Linked DNA regions of Drosophila melanogaster. The protein of the gene in region 2 interacts with the protein of the main gene of each other region in a pairwise test. Each region holds a gene or a part of one and is shown on either strand. Other genes may lie near its edges.

Region 1 (5,485 bases), on a different chromosome or scaffold from region 2:
ATAACAGAGCAGCGGAACTCGCCCATAACCAAGCACACGCTGGAAATCGATGCCCGATACTCTTCATACGCCTCGGTGCGGAGTCGTAGCTACAATCCGTTCCTCAACCTCGATCACGAGATCAACCGGGAGCAGGGCTTCCTCATCTACATCCCCTTTAGCAGCGAACTGCATCTGAACGAGAGTGGCAGTAAGTGCAGGCGCTACTCCTTCTCCCGACCCCAAAACCTGACCAGTGGCCTGTCCTTCAAGTCGCGGGCGGTGACCAAGACCAGGGGTTTGATCACGAAGACAGCGGCGGCGCCCTTCGAAGAGATCATGGTGCCCGAGGGTCGGAACGATGTGGTAAGTGTTTTGTTGAGAAAAATAATACCAAAATATATGAAATAAATTAACTAAATTTAATTAACTACTTTAAGCATCTGAAAATGGGTAAAATTAAGAATAATAATAAAGTCAAGCTCGCAGGTTCAACTATTTAGCTACCCAATGACGGATTTGGGCGTCCGACTGAGCATGACCACCAATCTCAACGAGCTCATCAAGTACAGGGGGATGCTGCTAAAGTCCGAGTTCACGGAGAAGTAATTTTTGAATTTCGAAACCGATTTGCTACTCAGCTAATCACTTCACTTCCAGTGGGTTCTCCGGCAATATGGTGGTCAATGCTTTGATGTACATATTTGGCTTCACCCAGCTAAGTTCCATACACCTGGGCCACGATCGCAACTTTACCATGCTTATGTACAACGAGAAGAACACCAGGGTGAGAAATAAAATTAAATATTTAACAATATTTAAAGCTAAAACCAATTTTCGTTCAGATCGAAGGTAACTTTTGTGCCGAAGACGTTTTGAAAACGTCGGACATGAAAGGCAAGCAGATCGGCCTTACATTGGAGCACACGGACCACATGAACGAAAATCATGCTGCGGATGCACTTCATAGATGGAACATTACCCTGGACGTGCTGGCATCGACCAAGTCCAATTGGTTCAAGCTGACCGGCCAGGTTCAGCGAAATTCAAAGGATGACGAGGACGACTGGAAGGTGAGTGATTGTCTGTGGCTAGGGACAAATTTATTTAACCAAAGATACGTTTCTCCTGTTTCTCTAAGTGTTCGTCTGTGAGTGTTCGTGAGTACTTTATAGTGATATTAATTGCTTTACAAGGTTTTTAAGTATTGGCTATTTGTTTCTAACCCTCCTGTCCGGATATTTCGAGCTCTTCCTCTGCGTTAATCAGGGTCACAACGCCATCCTGCAGAGTTTTGACCAGTTCGAACTCGGTGAAACCAAGCTTCCTCTTATTTGATATGTCCATGACACCATCTTCCACGGTGGACAGCTCGCCGCCATCGGTGCCGCGTACCTGCAGCTGCTGTTCCTCGGCGAGGGCGAGTAGACGATCGGGGTCCTTGCTGAGTAGCGGCAGACGGATGTGCACCGAAGCCCGCAGGGTGGTGCCCAAATTGGTGGGGCAAGCCGTAAGGTTTCCATAACGCGGATGCCGGGCAAAGGCCAACGTCTTCTCCAGTTCGGTTAGACCGTTGACAAGGCGATTGTAAACATCGCCCAAGTCGCCGCACTGTGCCATGGACATAATGTGCACATGGTCCTGGCGATTCACCCAGATCAAGAAGGTCTCGGCGGGATTGTGGTAGACACCACGACCAGTTGGCCAGAAACGATAGCAGCCGGCTGTGGTCAGCTTCTCATCGCCGCGCTGGAATAATATATGTCTCTTGACCATCTCCGCCTGGGTCTCAGCATCGATGTCCGCCATTGTCAGATAGGAGCCAATCAGCTCGCCATCCATTGTCTCCGTGGCCGAACGCACCTTCTCCTCCACCTCTATGAATTGCTTCTCGGTCAGTTTGGGGAAGAAGGGCAGACCTTCGATATTGCGAGCCAATCTGATTCGTGCGGACAGAATGTACTTGCGCTCCGGATCCAAGTTCTCGATCTCGTCCACGTTGCCAAAGTCTGGGTCTTTCTGCAGCACATCGTTCTCGTTGTCCATCTGGCCATGATAGTCCTTTATGATCGGATCAAAGAGTTTGTTGAACACGTCATAGCTGTCAGCATCTGCCGCGAAAATGCCCACGGGCGCGTCGTGGTGCTCGAATCCGGAGACGGCGCAATCGTATAGGTAGGCATCCACCGGCGCAGGTGTGGTGACCAGCATGTACTCCTCCAGCAATTCCGGAGTCAGGTATTTGCGCAGCAGTGAGCTCACGTTCTCCTCATCATCCATGAGCGATTTGTAGCCCTCAGTAGTGAGCTCCTGGTACTCCTCCGGTGACTTTTTGCTATTGAGTGTAAATAGAATCTAAATCAAGACTGGACAGACAAGACGCGATCTTAGAAACTCACATTTGTCCGCGTAGCCGTTCAAGCTCCTGCTCCAGTTTCGAGATGTGGGTCTTGGCCTCCTCGAGGTCGTTCTTCATTACATCGTACTGGGCATCGTCCGGGCAGCTCTCGCACATAAACTTGCGTACAAAGCGAATGGCATCCTCCGGCTTATTCTGCTCTTCGTAAAGCTTAATCAGAGCCTTGCTTAAGGCATCGATGACTCCGGCGCGTTCCAAATACTTTCGATATTGGACGCGTTTTGACTCGATCTGGAGAAGCAGGTAAAGTGGCTACATAAGAATCCATATCTATTATGCTTCTTATATATCACTTACCGAAGTCATTTTGCAGTTTGTCCGACCGAGAATCAAGTAAACATAAATTTATAAAAGCAACGCAACTGAATGCTCCCGATGGCGGTACCGAAATAAAATAGGTCGAGAGCACTGGGTCTTTTTTCCAGATTTTTACAGCGTTCTTACAAAATAAAAGAAAATGTAATTTTTTCCCAAAACAAATTTACGACAGGAGAAATTCGTCTGAACAGTAGCGTAACTGGATGCCTTCTACTGAGCTCCCACCGAGTCGTATTGATCAAACGGGGCTACTTACACCGCCAGGCCTGCTTTACTCTAGTCCGGTTGCCAGACTCGGTTCTCGGTCTCGATTCCGGGACGCAAACAACCCACGAATGTGGGCCAACAATTGCGGCGACTGCTTGAGTGCTTGAAAGGATGGGTTGCGTGTGTGTGTGTGTGTGTAGTAAGGTGGCACGCAGGCACGAACGGTGGGGCGGAAGAGGGCCATACAATCATACAGTCAGGATGTGTGTGGGTTCGCTAATCGTTGCTGCAGTTGTTGTGGCTCCGTTGTCTGCTGTTTCGTCATGGTAATGTGGCCCACTCCACTCGCCTGGAGCTTCAGCGAACAGCTGAACCCCACATTTTCTTGCCTCCACGCTTGAGGAAAGCAGTGTAACTACATAATACTTACAGGGTGTCACACCCGCCACCCAAAAGGAGCACTTGACTCGTGCCGAGCATAGCTGGCTATTGACCTACTGGGACATACTGTGTGAAGAACCACCGGCTAGGAAATTAAATTGTATTCCATATTTCATAATTGGAAAATCAAGTTGACAGATTTTAGGTTTATTTTAAAAAGCATTAAAAAAAACACATGGTGTTTCACTTAAGGATACAGGATTTTCTCACTCATTTGCATAATTTTCCTTAGGCCTGCACCAAGTTGACCTATGAACCGCTGGTGTTTACCAAGCGACCTCACACTCTGAATGGCGATGTGGTGTTTGGCCTGGCCACCGAGGAGAGCGAGTGCCCGGAGAAGGGTTCCACGGTGCAGTTTGCAGCTAGAGCTGGTGTAAGTGTACATAAGCCCGAAGTGGATTCTCTTTTAACCCAACGTTTTCATCTCGCCAGCCCTCGGAGCATGCCCGTGCCTTCCTCCGCTCCGACAAGATCTCGCTGACGGACACCGACTTCTGTCCCAAGGAGGTACTGAAGTTCTCGCCCATACCCACTTCCAGGTATTGCAAGCGTAGCAACTTTGAGAACTTCACCTCGATCACACAATACGACATGGACCTGAAGTTTGACAATGTAAGTATATCAGATATATCAAATTACTTTCCGCTCCGAAAAGATATATAAAAGACCAATCAACTCACCTTTATATTTTTTAAGATGCCCGCCTGGTTCGAGCTGTGGTCGAATCGACTGGACCACTTAGTGTCCGCCTTATCCGCCGACAAGGTGGACAGTCTGCATATGAGCCAGGAGATAAATATATCAATGCAAACTCCTCAGGACCAGTTCAGGCTGGCTGTGGAGGTCAACGGAGTGAAGTGGCGTTTCCATCAGATCCCCTTCTTCTACAAGCTGGACTCGAAGTTCGACGCTTCCCACGAGCTTACCTTCGACTCAGGACTTAAGCGCTCCTGCTCAGTAATCAATGGCATAGTCAATACCTTCGATGATTACCTAATCAATCTCAGAGAGATTGCGGTGCGTCCCGACTGTCTCACGCTGCTGGTGGCTGACTGTTCGCCATTGCCACAGATTGCAGTGTTTGTTACGCCTTCGCCTGTTCAAGGACTGTCCACCAACTATGGATTACGAGTCCATATCGGGCAAAACTACTTCAACTTCCGCGCCCGCACAGACAACAGCAGCCTGCCCACGGATGAACCAGTGCTCATATATCTTAACCAGGATCAAACACCGCACAACGTGCGCAAAAAGCCATATCAATGGCCAATTGAGACTAGTGACTACGACTTCCGGTAAGAATGCTTTTTAGCTTTTATATACAATTTTATAAACGCCATATGCCCTTTCAGCGTGGAACTTAACGAGCAAAATATTTTAATTGTGGAGTGTACGCAGCTGTCCTCCACCATCCAGTTCGATCTGTACAACATCCTGAATTTCGAGATATACGGCGTGTATAAGCACCAGATGTGTGGGCTGTGCAGCAAGCCCCTAAACCGCATGCAGAATTATACGATCTGCGAGCTGGAGGCAAACACTCCAACTCCTGTGCCGCTGCAGAATTCCTCCGATGTAGTTGTAGTTGCATAAATATAATGTGTGAGTTTAATCTAAAATAAAAAAAAGAGCCCAAAAAGGGAGAACATGCACGCCCCAGGGCTTTGATTTTTATAAACAGCAAGCAGTTTATGGATTTTTGCTTGTAATGAACTGGTTAGTATAGCTGTCTTCGTATTTAATGATATCTTTAAAGATGTAATTAACAAAAAATTATATTTCACATTTTACACTTCGTAATTGAACGAAGAGAGATCATTCAACATAACATAGAAAATATTTAACGTAATGAAGATTTCTGTAGGTTTAGATTCAATTCAAAACTTGTTTTCATTCCATGAATACGTCATTTTTTTAAACCAAACAAGTGAAGTGTGTCCTTTAAGAAAAGAAATGAGAAATCAAAAAGTTCAAAATCAGCTGTTTTCATATTAAACGATGTAACCATTCTTATTGGTTGCAATAGTCGATTTGCTTTTCACGATCACGATGCAATATGGTCAGGAGATGCAAACGGAGCTGGGGAACCGATTCCAACAACTGATTGCACAGTTTGCA
Region 2 (4,735 bases):
CGCGCGACTCGGCACAGGGTATCCATGCCGATGTTGTGCTGGTAATCAGCAATAAGACTGGTGTTCTGGGTCTGCAGCGAGCCACGCAAGCCGGAATACCTTCGTTGGTCATCTCCCACAAGGATTTCGCTAGCCGAGAGGTCTATGATGCGGAACTTACGCGAAATCTGAAGGCGGCTCGTGTGGATTTGATCTGCCTTGCCGGCTTCATGCGTGTCCTGAGTGCTCCATTCGTTCGAGAGTGGCGTGGACGGCTCGTCAATATCCATCCCTCGCTGCTGCCCAAGTATCCTGGTCTGCATGTCCAGAAGCAGGCCTTGGAGGCGGGCGAAAAGGAGTCCGGCTGCACGGTTCACTTCGTGGACGAGGGTGTGGACACGGGAGCGATCATTGTTCAGGCTGCTGTTCCCATTTTGCCCGATGACGACGAGGATTCGCTGACCCAACGCATCCACAAGGCTGAGCACTGGGCTTTTCCAAGGGCATTAGCAATGTTGGTCAACGGAACAGCTCTCATTTCTCCGGAAGTCAGCAGTCAGTAAATGCCAGCTTGTGAAACCTGACAATTTAAATATAACAAGCAGGGATGAGTTTATCTTACTCGAAGACTTTTTGTCAAATTAGTTATAATTATAATCTTGAACATTCAGCGATAATTTGACGTTAATAAGTTGTATAGCAATTTTTATAGGTTTAGGCTGCGTTTCTTTTTATATAAAAACTACAAAAATATATTAATAAACTTCAAGTTTGATTAAAAAAATCGCAAAAAATTTGTACACATTAATTAAACTATATATAAAAAAATCCAATATTTTTTATCACTCGATTTACAACAAAGAACATATCAATGATTTTAATGTTATAATAACAAAAAGGTCTCTTGGATTATTGAACTATTTCGTACATATATTGTACACATAAACGTACAGCACCTTAATCTACATCTAATATCACATATTTTACAATCACACATTTTTAATTACAATAGTTTGCTAATTAGGGAAAATAAACTTGTACTAGCGCTGCCCTGATTCTCTAGATTGCTGCTGGGCTTAGATTTCATTTCGGGTCTGATTACGTTACGTTGCAATTCCGGATCCTTAAATATAGGTTCGGCCATTCTGTCGAGATGCAGGCGAAAGAACTGATTTTCCAGAATGGGCACTATTAGATTGTACTTGTCAATGAGTTTGTTCAATTGCTTCACATCGTCCTGGTGATTCAGCGTGAATATTTTCCAGGCTGCCAGATCGTCCGGGCGCTGCAATGGCCATTCGCCGTAGTATTTGCGCTCCTGGCGCAGTTTCGTCTTCAGCTGAGCAATCGCATCGCGAATATCCTTGCCCAGGCTTATCCATTCCGGCGTGAAGCCGTTGTCTAACATAATCTTGTTCAACTTGTGGGTCGTAAAGTCCAGATAGGGATTCTGCGACTGAGCCGAGGACAGGGGCTTTCCAGACCCGTTTAGATTGTTAAAGTCACCCTTGGACATGGCCTCCTGAATGAGATCCTCGACCACACGATCAATACCGTACTTGGTCTTAATAGCATGTTTCCGAAAGTGGCTGCCGCCCTTGGACATTAGTGTTTTCTCTCCGGCAGCCGCCTTGTCGATGCGGTGCTCCAGGACGCGTTCCTGAGCCTTCATGGCGCGCACCTGCTGGTACTGCTTTTGCCGCTGAAATGGAGTTCCCACTCCGATGCCCTCGTTGGACAGATATTGCCGGTGCTGCGGCGCCGTATGCTTGATGTCAAACTCCATGGCCCCCTCCTCGTCCTCCTGAATGTTTCGCCTTCCCTTGGCGAACTTTTCCTGCAGCACACGGAAAGCCTCGTCCACCTGCTGGAAGCGTTCGGCACTGGCCTCCTCCGTTCCCGAATCGGGATGCACCCGTTTCACCAGATCCAAGTAGGCGTGGCGTACCGTATTCTGATCAGCTGATTCGTGAACGCCCAGGATGCGGAAGCATTCCTAAAGATAGCAGGTGCAATATTGCATAATGGTTCGAAATGCTAGAAATCTTGAGACAACTTGTACTCACCATATAAACCTCCTTGCGCTTGAGATGCAGCAAGCGACCGAATCTGATTGCTACGGATCCTTTGAACAGATTCCCAGCCAACCACATTTTTACTACACTTTATGGAGTTATTTTCTAAACAATTTTCGAGCTACGCTGTCTGACATTAAAGGAAATTCTACAACCTAAACCATTTGTTTATGTTTTTCGTGCGATCAGCTGTTGATAATAGTTGTTTTGTTTTGTAGGTGTAGGTGTAGTATAAAAATACTGCAAGACATTTTTAGTATTTTAGCCGTTATAGTCACTCCAGGGATGCATCAAATTTAATTATTTGAATTATGCCAAACGTTATGTTTTTTGAGATCATAATATTTGAGAACCAAGAAATATTTAAAAGTAAGAATGGCAAAATAAAAATATAAGCTAGGTGTACGAGTACTGATAAATGTGTGCACATATTTAGCATGTTAGTATACGAAATTTGTTAAATGTATGCGTGCTTGTTCTAAATGAAAGTCTAACCCAAATCTAAAGAAGCAAATTTCCACACTTACTAGTTGCAATTAAAGCCTGGCGATGACCAAATCTGCGGGCGAGCAACGCTCATCTGCAATTCAAACTACAATTCATGCTCTACATAGACTGGAAACTCGCGTTTGTTCTAGGTAATTGTGTCATAATTAAAAATTATTTAATTGCGCGACCTACACTAAAAAATCTTGAATTATAAAATATAAAGCTGACGTTGGGTAAGATGCTTAATATGAAATGGACACCTTCCCTAGAAAGAAACCATTCTAAATACATGAATGAAAAGGCACATTTATTGTTAAAAACTTGTTTGATTTTGAGCTCTTTGCACTAATTATGATTCAATTGATCTGTGCACTTATTACCCTGCTTTGAATTTGGTTACCGGTCTGGGCAGTTGTTTGCGTTGAGTTTTCTTTCCTAGCATCCCGTTTGGCCTGTTTGGATTGGCACATTAGCATATATCCAAACAGGATATGCACAAGTTTGCTCCAAATTCATTTGGTTCACCATGTAGAAGTTCCATATGCGCCATGGTTGTTATATTAATCATCTTCCGAGACATCGGGCGCATAAAGATCAAATACTTCGAGGAATTGGGCCAATTTCTTGCCCATAAATCCGCCCAATATAATGCCGGGTATAACTGTGATGAAAACAGCGATGTACTTGTATTTATTGTTCTCCTTTCGAATTTTATTTATTTCTTTAAAGTCCTTGAAGTTGTCTCCACGAAATGGCATTTTTGTGTTTTTATTTCGGTAACTGATTTTAGTGTGTGTTCGGAAATGGAATACGACATTATTCTGATAGAAATTTCAAGACTTTCTCCGGCCAAATTGGGACAGGCACGCCCCAGAACCTAAACGCGGATCCAAAACCCTCATCGGAATATTTGAGTGTGCGCCCTATATGGAACTTCCGTTCTGCTGGCTCAAACGACTGATTTTGTCAACCGTCTGATCGTCCCTCTTCAATTGGCTTGCAATTGTCTACATTTCCGTCTAAGGAAGGGTATTGCCTTTTATTTTAATATTCGACCTGCAGCAGTGTTGTGTTTGTTTGTTGATTAACGGAGCGTAGAATAAAAGGTGTCATTTGGAAAGAATTTGTGTTTTCAAAAGGAATTGTAAAACTAAACAAGTTTTAAATGTAATTAGATAGTTCCCTTTATTCATATTCCCTTAACTAATGCTTTAGCATTAGGAAAACTAAATTTCCTTTTCTACTTCCTAAGAAGTCAAGACACATTTTAATTGCACCGAAATAATAATCATGACCTGTTTTTGAGAAGGAAGTAAAAACTTATTCGAAAATGGATAGATGGGAGTCTAATGATCGCGTGTACCCTATAATTAAATTGTTTTATTCCAGTGGATGTGTAAATTGGATCGATTTATCTGCTTTATATTTCTACTGGAAGCAGTGCATTATTTATCATCATTTTCGTTTTATCTGTTTACAAGCATTTATTTTTAATTTGAAAAGAAAGGAAGTGAAAAGCTTAATAAATCATTCTTGTTAAAGGAATGATAAACTAAAATTAATTAACTCTAAATTCGGCTATTCTCATCGGCTAAGTTAATTGGTTTTAACCAGGTCCAAGTGCAAACAATGGTATTTAGTTAAGATTGAGTTAACATTGAATAATCATTTACATACCACAAATATAGAATTGATTTTTTGTCTAAGAATCCCAGCTGACTTTTCATTGATGGTTTCTCACTGTTATCAAAATTTTTCTTAAGCCCCTTCAATTTGCCTTTTTGGACTCTTCATCCACACAGAGATAAAGTGTTCCTTAATAGAAATCCTTCGGGTTGGGAAATCCCACCATAAATAGTAATTGTTGTGCGCAATTCTATAGAATTCCTAAGAAACGAGTGCGAAATTCCTTTTAGCGACGGATGTGACGTAAGGTTACATATACGAACAAAATATAAAAAGGCATAAGATCTTCTAATGGCCATCGATACTAAAAACAATGAATATCCTTGAAGCACTTTGAAAACTATACACACAAAAAAGGATAACTTGCGGGAGAAATTTTAGAAGTTATTTAAAAGAGAAGATAATCTTGATTTGAAAAAGTACCTGCAATAACCCTAACTATTAAATGAGTAGTTTTTGTTGATCATTTGTAGATTCCATTTCCGTTTAGCATTTCGCACGTTTTG
Region 3 (6,884 bases), on a different chromosome or scaffold from region 2:
GAGTAAATTGGCCGCATGAGCGAATTATCGATGCATTCGGGGAACACTTAAGCACGTTTGGGAATCCATTGAATTAAAAGGCCACCGGAGAATAGCTCAAGTATCTGCACTTGCTACTTTCACACACCTACACACACACAAGCAATGTCAATAAATTCCTATATAAAATTTACTTTATAGAAAGCACACAAAAAGTATTCTGTTTCTTTTATTATAAATCACTTCTTTAAAAATCGACCTGACTTGTAACTTGTTTTATCTCTCAGATTTCTAGTTTACGTGAAAAGGTAGGCAGGTCTGCTGCGTTCGAGGAAAGAAAGTATTCTGAGCCGTATACCGTGGAACACTGCGGCCACAAAAGCTTCATTTTGTCTCTCCTGCCGCAAAAAGCTATCTAAGTTATTCTCATAAAGAGAGAAAATCACTCAAAGCACACATATGGTACTCAACAGCAAAATTCTAACCAGAAACCGTTTTCTGCATCCGAAACTGTTTTCATAATGACATTTTTAAATAGTTCCGTAATATTTGAGAGCTCTGTCGCTACTAGCATAAAAAATTGTTCTTTTGATGAGCAATAAATTGATTAAAAATTGAATAAAACTACTCAGAACAATGTTAAAAATAAGAATAAATAGCTTCGACAGTCCTAACAGTCTTGAACAGTTGTATGTGAAATATTCGTGGATCAACATGTTGTTCGGACTTATAGGATCATTTTTGCTTATGCTGCAAATAATTCTTGTGCCTTATTCAAATGGTGCAGGTAACTTTCAGCATGCATAAACTTTGTACGCAATTTAAAATCTATCCTTCCTTCAGGGTGTCAATTTGATACGGAATGCGTGAATCTGGATAAGTGTCCCAGGACCAGAGCAGTTATGAACTCATCCAGGAAAAATATAATAGGTCTTAGAAGATGCGGCACTAATAAAGTGTGCTGCCCCAAGTGGGAAACGTATCTGCCACACGATACTTGTGGACAATCAAGAAGAAAACCTACGAAGGGCAAAATACCGGCGCTGAATGAGTTTCCCTGGATGGCCATGCTGTTATATGGAAATAAAAACAATTTGTCCCAGAAGCTGGTACCAAAATGTGGTGGATCCCTAATAAACAACTGGTACGTCCTGACCGCAGCGCACTGCGTGGAGTATCCATTTATGGACTATCCGTATGCCCTCAAAACAGTGAGACTGGGCGAACATAACACGTCCACAAATCCCGATCGGGCTATTGTGAATGGAAGAAGACAGTACGCTCCTCTTTATATGGAAATTGAAGTGGACCAAATTATTACGCATGAACAATTCAACCGGGGAAGGCGGCTGATAAACGACATAGCACTCGTGCGTCTTAAGTTTCCTGTGCGGTGAGTAATGATTCTCCTCTGGTCGAAATAGAAGTAGGATATGAATTGAAATAATATATCTTTATATCTTCCTATAGCTATACGAGAGCCATCCAACCTATTTGCCTTCCAAGAGCCCAAAAATTGGCCGCGCATAAGCGAAAGTTTCAAGCATCCGGCTGGCCAGACATGGGACAAGGAATTGCAAGTGAGGTACTCTTGCGCAGCTTCATCGCGGAACGGCATCCAGATGTGTGCAAATCAAATTATGACTTTAATTTGGGCAGTCAGATATGTGCTGGTGGTCTGGATGGGAATGACACCAGTCCCGGCGATTCCGGGGGACCCTTAATGGAGACCGTGATACGTGGAAAGGTCACACTCACTTATGCAGCCGGCATAATCTCCTACGGACAGAAGCCCTGCGTACTTAAAACTTGCAAGCCAGCATTTTACACAAAAACTTCATACTTTTTTGAATGGATAAAATCGAAATTGCAAAGTCCATTTATCGACAGCGACAGCAAATCTCGTACTAGAAAATAAGCAATTTATTTAATTCCTACATTTTATTGCCTCAAAAACTAGTTTAACTGCATCCAGGAAAAGGTTCGGCGCGATTTTTGCGCAGTACGAACTGAATTTTTCGGTTCATGTCCTCGTTGTAAATGGCCTTGCATTTCTCGAAGTTGATGCGACGACGAACCTATACAATAGTTTAATACAGTAAATAATAATAAATAGTTAAGTTATTTAAAGTCGAACCTGATACGGCTTTTCGTAGAATCGCGTGCGGCGAAATTGGTCGAGCAGTTCTTCTTTTCCCAAGACGCGATTTAACAGACGACACGCCTCCTCCACATTATTGTTTTGCACCAGAACGGTGCGGGCCAGAAACTGCACGTGTCTCATTTCGGATAAGTAGTTTTATTTTATAAAGTTTTCCAAATGTTTATTAAATAATCGGCTTTCAAAACAGTGTGACCATTTACTGTACTGCTAAACAGCTGATGAATATCACTAACCAGGGCTAACGATTGCTAATAAGAATCGTGGACTCAGAAGGAGTACTTTGAGAACCACTCAACTTAATAAATAAGAAAAATATTTATTCAACACAGTATTTATTAATGCATTGCCAAAATTATTTCTGTAATGCCCATCACACTTAAGAAATACATATTATATCCCATCAAATTATCAAAAATTGCTAATCACCTGAAAATGACTAAAATACCAGTTTTCGGACCTTTGCGGTGCGAGGCAACCCTGATGTTGTGGTTTTTCTTGCCGTTTGCCGCTCTGGTCACACTGGTTTCCAGTTTTCTTCCTAGCGTGGCGGCCATAGTAAGCTGTTGAAAAGTATTCGACGTAAATTAAATTTGTTGTAAAAGTGAAACTTCCAGGAATCGGGCTGCGAAAGTTACTATTTGCTTTAGGCACGACACGACACGAAAAAAGGTGAGCTGGGGCGGCTCTGGGCTAATTAAGATTACCACCTGATTTTGCACATTTCGTCTCGCATTGTGCGGTTTGCCAATGTGTGTGTCTACTTGGTAGACACTTCCTTTGCGCTTGGTTTTCTCATCTCTGTCGTTAAGTAATCATCGATAATTGTTTTTTGTCAGAGAATTTGCCTTCGATTTTTGGCATTAGATTTGCAAAATCGATGGCCATCTAGCTTTTTTTCTCTTCTTTGTTCAATCGAATTCTTCTGACGCAGCGTCTTGCGCGGCACATGTTGGTACGCATACAAGCGCAAAGTCTGGTGCATGTGTGTGCTAGGCACTGGTGAAAATATAATAATTGTATCTATTGATTTGCCTGCTAAATCGAAGGCTGCTTCTAGAATTCATTTCCATTCTTATTTTCGACTCTGCCCTTTCTCCTTTCATTTGTTCCCCTTTTCGTTCTTTTACGGTTTTTTCATTATTACCCTCTCCGCTTTGCAGTCGCCGTTCGCAAAACCAGGGCTGCAATGCGCTGACGAAAACTTCTAGAAACTGTGTGTATGTGTGCGTGCGAAAGAGAAGCGGTTGTTGTCGAAAGGGGGAAAGAGAGCGTCAGCTGCTCGCCGTATTGAAATACGACAATTGTTCTAGAAAATCGACTAGAAAACGTCGCAGTTATTTTCGCGAACACATGGCGGCGTAACGACCTTGAATCCCGGGCTCTAGCTTCCGGCAATGCCTACTATTTTCCGTTGCCCCCCAAATTACACGGAAAAAAATGGGTGATGGCATCAAGTCACAGCTGTAGAAATCAATAAACAAGAAAGGGTCATATGATCGAGTGGTTTCTGGATTTTGAAAAATGTATTTCTACAAAAAAAAATGGGTAACAAAATATAGGTTACTGATTTTTGTTTACAATACTAGTTAGAGAGGAATCAGCCCTTTGAACTATGAAATGTCATTAGATATAAAACTGACAATAACTTCCATCGGGAACCTAGCTGCCATAGAAACAGCACCACAAAATAAATTTTTTTTTTTCATTTTTTATAAGAACTGGCATCCAAATCGGTTGAAACTTCAAAAATTTTCGGTATTACACAACTTCATAATTTCTACCTATATATGCCTGGAGCATACACAAATCTGTTCCCCAATCTGTTATTTACAAGCTCCCAGATAGTAATTACGCACTACTTCGTCTGTTCACAGTAAACAGCAAACAAAATGGTTAAGGAGACTGGATATTATGATATACTTGGCGTGAAGCCTAATGCCACGCCCGACGAGCTGAAGAAGGCTTACCGCAAGCTGGCCCTCAAGTACCATCCGGACAAGAACCCCAACGAGGGCGAGAAATTCAAGGCCATTTCGCAGGCTTACGAAGTGCTGTCCGATGCGGACAAGCGACAGGTGTACGACGAAGGCGGCGAGGCGGCCATCAAGAAGGGCGGCGCAGATTCCGGTGACTTCCGCAATCCTATGGACTTCTTTGAGAAGTTCTTTGGCGCTGGATTCGGAGGTAGTGGCGGTGGACGCAGGCGCGAGAGGCGTGGCAAGGACGTGGTGCACCAGATGTCCGTACAGCTGGAGGAGCTGTACAATGGAGCGACCCGCAAGCTGCAGCTCCAGAAGAATGTGATCTGCGACAAGTGCGAGGGTCGCGGCGGCAAGAAGGGCAGCATTGAGAAGTGCTTGCAGTGCCGTGGTAACGGTGTGGAGACACGGGTTCAGCAGATCGCCCCCGGCATCATGCAGCACATCGAGCAGGTGTGCCGCAAGTGTTCGGGAACTGGCGAGACCATTCAGGAGAAGGACCGCTGCAAGAACTGCAGTGGCCGCAAAACGGTGCGGGAACGCAAGGTATTGGAAGTGCACATTGAGAAGGGAATGCGGGATGGCCAGAAGATCGTGTTCACGGGAGAGGGCGATCATGAGCCGGAATCTCAGCCGGGCGATATTATTATTCTTTTGGACGAGAAGGAGCACTCCACATTCGCGCACGCCGGACAGGATTTAATGATGAAGATGCCGTTGCAACTTGTCGAAGCGCTCTGCGGATTCCAGCGAATCGTTAAAACGCTCGATGATCGCGATCTGATTGTGTCCACACAGCCCGGCGAGGTTATCAGGCATGAGATGACCAAGTGTATTGCCGAGGAGGGTATGCCCATTTTCAAGAACCCCATGGAGAAGGGCACGTTGATCATCCAGTTCGAGGTGATCTTCCCGGAGGTGATCAATCCGTCGGTGGTGCCCACGCTTAAACAGTGCCTACCCCCGGCGCCGGAGGTTGACATTCCAATCGATGCAGAGCAGACGGTTTTGGTGAGTATTTCAGTAGTAGTTTATATCACGATATATAAATAATATATTATTTATAATTAATTTATTTATCGATTTGCTTATCTTTCGCAGGAGGACTTTGATCCCAAGCAACGTCGCCAGCAACACCAGCGCATGGCCTACGATGAGGACGATGGCGGCTATCAGGATGGCCCACGCGTCCAGCAGTGCACATCGAGTTAAGCGCCCCCGCTGCGTGTTGCATCCCCGGACACACAGCCCTAATAATACCCCAACCAACAAGCCGTAATAATATGTAAACCAGCTCCCGGAACACTGTAATTGCGCTTGCAAGTGCCGAAGAACTCCCAAAAGCACCTTAAAACACCATCCAATTCACACTAGGAGGCCCAACCAATCGAGAGATCTAAAGTTATTTCATGCAAGCTACGATATTTAGGTATAAATCAAAGAAACTTATCAGATATATGCACTATGTCTATAACGCGTGGTTGTTTGTAAACCAACATTTTTCTTTATGTTTATGTTGCGTTGGATTGTCAAAGAATCGAAAACGGAAACTGAAACTAAACTAAACTGAAATTGAAATTAGCCGCCACTAGAACCGTATCTAAAGTCCGCGCCAGCGAACACGTCTAGGAACAAGTTTAAGTTATTTAATTCCAGCATAAATAAAAGCGTTAGTTTAAACGGATATAACAAATAAATAATTAATACACAATTTCAACCCAAATGCTGTATATTCTTCTTCCCATAGTTCCAGTATCACTTGCCTTCCTCCGGCTATCTATTGATTCCATAATCGCTGCATAGTCACCCGCAGGTGTGAATCATTCGAATAATGCCAATTGGAGATATCAGGCATATGGCAGTAGTTTCGTCTTGAGTACATTATTTAAAATGCTATCTGGGATAAGTAAAAGATAAAAAGAAAGATAAGGATAGTTTGGGATATATATGGTAATGCCATTAAATCGTTAAGGATATAATGAGGGATTTTGTAGTTGTTGAGGATTATAAAGCATCCTATAAATGAATCTGCGGACCTGCCTGTCGCAAGGAATAACATCAAAAGCAAATTCAAAATGTAAAATGTTTTGTAAATTTATTTACAAAATTTCAAAATGAACTACAACATAATCTGGTGGAAACTAGTGCGCAAAGTTTCGGAGAGCGGCCACAACTCCAGTTCCATAGATGAGCTTCTCCTCCACACGCTGCCAAGCCTCCTGCTGCACCTGGGACACAGTGCGCAGCTCCTTTACCAAATCCGGGAACTCCGTCAACCCGAGACCGTGGGATCGCAAGAAGACGCTTAGATACGATTGAGCCAGCTCAAAGTTCAGATTGGTTCCAAACATGAACTTAACGAGTTTGAGGAACTGCAGCATGGCAAGGAGTGTTCCTCCAGCCTCCGGGTGCAGAGATTTGATCTCAAAGTCAACCATCGATGGTCCTAGTTGGGTCAAGTGCGCCACAGCCGATGCGAAGTCCAGGGAGTCAGCAGTTTCCTCCAGCAGCTGGCCAAAGGCAGTAAGATTGTTGAGAGTAGAAGCCTTCCGAATCCGGGATTCATCCTCCTCCTTCTGACCGTTCTCCACATCGAAGCGCAGTTCCAGTCCCGAAACCGTGGGCAGGAAGAATGGGGCCTGTTTGGGAGCTTTTGGTGGTGCCTTGGGCTTGTTACGTTGCTTGATTAGCTCCAAATCCAATAGATTCTGCCAACGGGATGCAGCCAACCCGGATAGCGTTATCAGTTCCTCGGACAGCTG

Evidence for each region. Proteins that work in one complex are often made in the same cells at the same time.
Region 1: the proteins of CG43322 (region 2) and CG4546 interact in a two-hybrid assay, tested with the Drosophila melanogaster proteins (one large-scale study listed by BioGRID).
Region 3: the proteins of CG43322 (region 2) and Droj2 interact in a two-hybrid assay, tested with the Drosophila melanogaster proteins (one large-scale study listed by BioGRID).

The regions. Positions count from the first base shown.
Region 1 is NT_033777.3:15,843,999-15,849,483, reverse strand, and holds CG4546 (uncharacterized protein), read right to left. Parts: upstream 2,951-5,485; 5' UTR 2,705-2,950; coding exon 2,696-2,704; intron 2,630-2,695; coding exon 2,379-2,629; intron 2,315-2,378; coding exon 1,201-2,314; 3' UTR 1,053-1,200; downstream 1-1,052. Other genes in the region: cv-d (crossveinless d), read left to right, coding at 1-345, 469-584, 640-766, 825-1,052, 3,597-3,740, 3,800-3,979, 4,064-4,662, 4,720-4,960; spn-E (spindle E), read right to left, coding at 5,378-5,485.
Region 2 is NT_033779.5:7,010,893-7,015,627, reverse strand, and holds CG43322 (uncharacterized protein), read right to left. Parts: upstream 2,233-4,735; 5' UTR 2,133-2,232; coding exon 2,046-2,132; intron 1,976-2,045; coding exon 983-1,975; 3' UTR 891-982; downstream 1-890. Other genes in the region: GART trifunctional enzyme, read left to right, coding at 1-542; CG43321 (uncharacterized protein), read right to left, coding at 3,104-3,301.
Region 3 is NT_033777.3:13,379,447-13,386,330, forward strand, and holds Droj2 (DnaJ-like-2), read left to right. Parts: upstream 1-2,659; 5' UTR 2,660-2,698; exon of another isoform or gene 2,699-2,757; 5' UTR 2,758-2,812; intron 2,813-3,375; exon of another isoform or gene 3,376-3,666; intron 3,667-3,818; exon of another isoform or gene 3,819-4,017; 5' UTR 4,018-4,032; coding exon 4,033-5,133; intron 5,134-5,223; coding exon 5,224-5,334; 3' UTR 5,335-5,837; downstream 5,838-6,884. Other genes in the region: CG8870 (uncharacterized protein), read left to right, coding at 694-766, 823-1,372, 1,450-1,897; mRpS21 (mitochondrial ribosomal protein S21), read right to left, coding at 1,941-2,057, 2,117-2,263; CG9799 (uncharacterized protein), read right to left, coding at 6,264-6,884.